2 linked regions of the Saccharomyces cerevisiae S288C genome follow. The gene in region 1 interacts genetically with each later gene. Each region holds a gene or a part of one and is shown on either strand. Other genes may lie near its edges. The genes, in order: RRF1 and RTR2.

Region 1 (3,227 bases):
GGTGGATGTCACTCCAGAAATGAAAATAGCACAAAACGAAGTGTTTGGCCCAATTTTAGTCATGATGAAAGCTAAGAATACTGACCATTGTGTACAACTAGCCAACTCTGCGCCATTTGGTCTAGGTGGTTCTGTGTTTGGTGCGGATATCAAGGAATGCAATTACGTCGCAAATAGCCTACAAACTGGTAATGTAGCCATTAATGATTTTGCTACATTCTATGTTTGTCAATTACCATTTGGTGGTATCAATGGTTCAGGTTACGGTAAATTTGGTGGTGAAGAAGGTCTTTTGGGTTTGTGCAATGCCAAAAGTGTCTGTTTTGATACTTTGCCTTTTGTCTCCACTCAAATTCCAAAACCATTAGACTACCCTATTCGTAACAATGCTAAGGCTTGGAATTTTGTAAAGAGTTTCATCGTAGGAGCTTATACAAATTCCACATGGCAAAGAATAAAGTCACTGTTCTCTTTAGCTAAAGAAGCCAGCTAGTTTACTTTAGAGGAAGCAACAAACTTATCAATAATTTGGTATTTATTATTATATAAAATGAACTTTTTATGTACAAGATTTATGATTTTTTGATTCTATACACGTTACGAAATTCCTCATTTTACAATGCTTTTTTCAACTTTCTGGAATTGGTCATGAAGCTTGTTCACGTAATCCTTATGCAGTTTTTCCAAATCCCTCTCAGCTTTTCGAACGGCATCATCCTTTTTGAAACTTTTGAATTCCTTTAGAATACTGCCTCTGATAGTTCCTAATGAGTCTTTTAGCGATGACTGCTTATATTCTTCAAATACTCTCTTTAAGTCTTTAGCTACTTTTAACCGGGATTCTGTAGTTGGTGGTGGTAACGAAACTTTCAATTGCAAATCGTTATTTGGGACCCTTTCAGGAGTTAAATTCAGGTTCGCAGCAAGCACCCCACTGATCACAGTTTTCACATCTTTGGGGTCGAAAACTGTTATTAAAAGTGCATTTTTACCTTTCAAGGATGTGGTAGCAATATCTGTAAACTTTCTGTTATTTTTGAACACTAAACTATTGAATACCTTAGGATTAAAATTTCCCTGTTTTATCTCATTCATTTTCTGTTTTTGAATTTCTAAAGTTTTTTTGAATTGAGTTTCTGCCTTTTTCAGCAGTTCATTCACGTCAATTTCATCTTCTTCGACTTTCTCAGTAGGGGTAGAACTTTTTTTCTTCAAAATTATGAAAGATTGACTAAAAGAACGATTAAATAGACGAGGAACGGTGACTGGTCTACAATTTAATCTAGCTGTGGTTAAAATCATTATTTCTTGCTGTTATTTTTCTTGTCAGGGACTGCTCGCCAAAGTTTCCATCTTTAAGCTTACGAATGGACGTATTTAATAAATTGATGTTCTGTTTCCGGACGGGTCCTTATGCCAAAAACAGAATGAATATGCGGCGAATAAATAGCAACGTGAATAAGTAAGTCATGACAGAATATAGAACGGGAATTTGGACGGTTGGTTCAATGAATATTTTTAAACTATTTACCTAGATAAATTAAAATTGTAAAACTAAAAAAACCTAATGAAGTAATCAAAACCCTTTTTTCGATAATCTAACATTTACATGAGTTGATGGATGAAGTGACTGCATTCGCGGTTCTATTCCACAAAAATTTTTTTATTCATAATTCGATGGATATTTGAAATCAGTCAACTCGTAGAAGTTCTCCTTTGTGTTTCTAATACTGACAAATCTGCTTAAAATGTTTGGACCACCAGCCTTATCGTCGGTACCACTCATTCTTGCGCCACCAAACCATTGCTGAGAAACAACGGCACCAGTACACTTATCATTTATGTAGAAATTTCCTGCGCTAAACTTCAACTTCTCATCTGCGTATTCAATTGCTTTACGATCTTTGGCAAAAATAGCACCAGTTAAGGCGTATTGACTCGTATTATCGATAATATCACAGATTTCATTAAATTCAGTATCTGGATACTCGTAAACAGTTAATATAGGGCCAAAAAATTCTGTTGACATATATGGATGATCTGGTCTCTTGGCTTTTATGACTGTGGGTCCGACAAACCAACCTTGGCTTTTATCGTATTGTCCACCGTAAAGAATTTCCAACTCGGGGTCTTTCTTTGCATCTTCAATTACTTTAACTAATTTGTCGAAACTTTGTTCATGGATGACAGGACCCATAAATCCCCGCAAATTCCCACCAGAAATTGGACTTGCGGATGTGTTCATTGGGACAACATTCTGTGACTGCAATATGCCAAACATATCGGATAAGAATTCTTCACTTTTTGACTCTGGAAGATATAACCTGGAAGCGGCAGAGCACTTTTGGCCTTGGAACTCGAAAGTGCCTCTAATAGTAGAGAGTACTGCATGTGATATATTTGCACTTGGGTGAACTAGATGGAAATTTTTACCACCTGTCTCACCAATAATACGGGGGTAATCTCTGTACTTCCCTTCAACAACGCCACTTTGTATTTTGCCATACAAACTCTTAAAGACATTTGTAGAACCGGTAAAATGCAAGGCACCAAAATCTTTATCAGCTAATACCTGGTCAGTAACTTGAACTGGATCACCTGGAATGAAATTTATGACACCCTTTGGCAATCCCGCTTCTTCCAAAACAGTCATCAATAAGTAATTTGAAAGGGCAGCGGTTTGTGAAGGTTTCCAGACAACTGTATTACCCATCAAAGCTGGAGCCCCAATCAAGTTTGCAGCAATAGCAGTAAAGTTGAATGGTGAAACAGCATACACAAATCCCTCTAAAGGTCTGTATTCAGCTTTATTCCAAGTACCATCCGCTGACTCTACGGGTTGTTGAGCATACAAGTCTGATGCATACTTGACATAGTATCTAAAAAAGTCAGATAATTCCGTGATACAGTCGATTTCTGCCTGATACACATTTTTTCCCTGGCCCAGCATTGTAGCAGCTAACATGTCATAACGATACTTGGTGGAAATTAAGTCAGCGGCTTTCAAAAAAATTGCAGATCTGTCATAAAACGGTAGATTGTACCAATCCTTTTTGGCATCCTTGGCGGCTTTTACAGCATTCATGACATCTTTTTCCGTGGCTTGTGTGACGTTTGCCAGTACTTGTTGATGGTTCGCAGGGTTAGTCTGCGGGAAAAGCGCTCTTTCATTATTGTCATATATCCTTTCCCCATTGATGACCAGTGGCACTTCTAAAGAAGAACTT
Region 2 (3,108 bases), on another chromosome or scaffold:
GGCTTCTGTTCTATTTCCACCCACAGCAATTTCATTTTCTTTCGAATTCTCATCCTTGTCATTAGAGTCATTTTCTGCAGCATTATCGAAGCTACTGAAGCCAGACCAAAAATTCTTAGTTTTCATTTTGCTCCAATATGACTGGGCTAGACTTTCCACGCTGTGAATATTCTCGTCTAGTTTCTTCAAATACTTTTGTGCAGTCTCTGTAGTTTCATTGCTAATTGGCAAGTTAATTTCAATTCCGTCATCTTTCTCGATTACTAACTTTTTGAATGCACTTGTAGTCTTTTCATATCGTTTATTGACTTCCTCTTCTAACTTTTGGAAGGCCTCATTTGTTTTGTCATCTCGGCTCTGAAGTTCGTTATTTTCAGTGTTTTCTGTTGATCCAGTTTCCTTGGTATGAGAGTTGCTTATTTTATCATCTTCGATACAAGCTACTTGTTCTTCATAAAAGAATTCCATTTTATCCTAAAACGTCGAAGCAATGGAGCTCACTAGCTGTACCCTTATGTTGTGTTCTTTTTTTGTTGCATGACTTCTGCTAAGTGCTTTTTATCATTAATCACCGCTATTTGATGTAAGGCCAAAAAAAATGCGAAAGAAAAAAAGAGACTCTGTTAAGAAGGAAAGGAGTACCAATATAAACTATGGGTTCACAATTGCTATGAATACCCAGTTCACACATCTAGAATAAGCTATATGTATCAAAATGACACTAGTGACTCCGTTACAATTTTCGACTGTACAGCCAAATTTATATAGAGGATCTTACCCACGAGAAATCAATCTCCCATTCCTGAGAACCCTTAGATTGAAATACATATTATCTTTGACACCAGAACCTTTGAGCACTGATCCTCTAATGGTAAAGTTTTGTGAAGAAAATAACATTAAGACAATTCATATAAAATGTCAAAGTGAAAGAAAGGCAGACAAGACCAAACCCAAGATTAAAAGGAAAAAGAAAACAGTTCCTATTGAATACGATGTTGTAGTACGATGCGTTAAATTTCTGATTGATAAAGGGCATTACCCCTGTTATATGCACTGTACGAATGGTGAATTGATAATATCTCTCGTAGTAGCATGTATGAGAAAGTTTTCATATTGGAGTACGGTATCCATACTAAATGAGTTTTTGGTGTATAATTCCAGCATCAATATTCATGAAAGAAATTTCATTGAAAACTTTAACTCTGAAATCGAAGTTGACGATCTGGATATAAAGGATAAAGTTCCCTGGATTACCGTGCGATATATTGCAAGGACAGCCACAGAATCAAAAGATGAGTTGCGTGTTGATGATGCTAATGCGTCTGAAAAAGTTGCAAGAGTAAGTAGCGTGTCAAATTCTTTGCCAAAACTAAAATTTCATAGTATGTAAAATTCAGGGATAAATTCATATAATATTTTGTAAAGACAGAAGCTTCAGGGTTAAGTCTTAGCCGGGCCCTCCAGCATTGATAATCATTTTTTTCAATATCAAATGCCATTGAAAAGTCCAACGAAAATTACATCGACTTTACAAAAGAGACGAGCCGGTCACATTCTAGTATTGGCGAAGATTGGAAGCCATTTATCAACAGCAAGGAGGCATTCTGGAAAAATTGCAGCATATTTAAGAAAAGTGATAGGTTTATTTTTATACTAGAAGGACAGGAGCAACGCAAGCCATAATGCAGATAATAACCACTACGTTCATTCAAAAAGTAATTTTAGGATCACACCAATTACATGAGCAATTATCTATAGTGGAAGCCCGAATGATTGAATCTGCCATAGTTTCAATGCTCACAGAATCATTTTGCGAAAATGAGCAGACATTAAAATACTTAGCACGGCTACTTTCACCGATGTCTTATATGGATGTTATTAATGCAAGAAGGGGAAAGAAAATATGTGGGTACCCGCTATGCTATAAGAGTGCGGCAGAAAATTCATCTGATGGCTTCTTTATCCACTCAATGTATTGTAATAATTATCACAGTAAATGTTCGTTGTATTTAATGAGACAGTTATCACAAACGCCTCTGCATGAAAGGCGAGGCGTGCATTTAACTAGTTACATTAATCTAGAGTTTGATGATATGTACTCGGTAAGCCTTTTAGAAGAATTAGTTGGAAGTGAGGTACCTATAGATACCGTCAAATCGCTGATAACGAGTTTCAAGGATCTTGAGTTTGATGATACCTACAAGAATGAGCCTTTACCATTGGATGTGTACTTTGGACAGTTGACTACTGATGAGGAAACCTGTATAGAATAGGAAGTATAATTAAATCGTCTTCATCAGGATCCTTATCGCGGTCATACGAGTGACTATTTACATAGAAATGGAAGTAACCAGTAAATTTTCTATTAAACTTTCTGATTCACGCAACTTTTGCACTTAAAAACCGTATTTCGCCAAAACACTTGGCAAGTCCCTCCCTTCTATAAAGAGTGTCACATATGGTAATGTTTCTTTGCTCATTTTTCTGAATAGTGTCAACCGTTTGGCGTACATTTCTTTTGACTTTTTATCAAAATATGCTAGTTGGCCACCGTTCTTTAAAAGCTTTTCCTTATATTTGTTAAAGTACTCCACTCTTTGAAAACTTTTGGAATGTAATTCGAACATTATTTCTCTCACGGGATCTACCCATTCTTTAACTTTCTGATATTGACTCGAAGGATTACATTTAGTAGACTTTGGGATATTTGCAGCGTATTCCAAGTATTTCGGTAAGTTTACTTTAATAATCTTTTTCGACTCTAGATATTCCTCCCAAATGGCCTCATGTAATGCCCAAGCAGCATTAATTTCGCAAAAATTGAGATTATCGATATTTTTCTGAGAATCCTTCCTTTCTTTTCGTATCAATATTCCCAGCTTTTTCGATTGTTGTCTGCCCTTGTTAATTGGTGACCGAACAAACCATATTTGATTCCTTCCTTCTTTTGTATATGACAGCCCAGCAGAAGGTGGGCCATTTTTCAATTTTTGCTGAATATGAAATAGTTTCAGGCACGCATGTTCGTTCAATGCTAATGGTAATAGGAGTTTGTGCTGATACGTTTTTGGTATGTATGCAGGTAAAAGGCCCAAATCTTGTTTTCGC

Evidence for each region.
Region 2: mutations in RRF1 (region 1) and RTR2 together harm fitness more than expected from each alone (negative genetic interaction), as found in Saccharomyces cerevisiae (2 studies listed by BioGRID).

Annotation. Positions count from the first base shown.
Region 1 is NC_001140.6:182,141-185,367, reverse strand, and holds RRF1 (Rrf1p), read right to left. Parts: upstream 1,303-3,227; coding exon 610-1,302; downstream 1-609. Other genes in the region: MSC7 (meiotic recombination directing protein), read left to right, coding at 1-493; PUT2 (1-pyrroline-5-carboxylate dehydrogenase), read right to left, coding at 1,664-3,227. UniProt on the Saccharomyces cerevisiae protein: Necessary for protein synthesis in mitochondria. Functions as a ribosome recycling factor in mitochondria.
Region 2 is NC_001136.10:581,073-584,180, reverse strand, and holds RTR2 (putative protein-serine/threonine phosphatase), read left to right. Parts: upstream 1-1,682; coding exon 1,683-2,273; downstream 2,274-3,108. Other genes in the region: DOS2 (Dos2p), read right to left, coding at 1-468; OCA6 (protein-tyrosine-phosphatase), read left to right, coding at 716-1,390; RRG1 (Rrg1p), read right to left, coding at 2,397-3,108. UniProt on the Saccharomyces cerevisiae protein: Probable RNA polymerase II subunit B1 C-terminal domain (CTD) phosphatase that regulates RNA polymerase II transcription. May have functional redundancy with RTR1.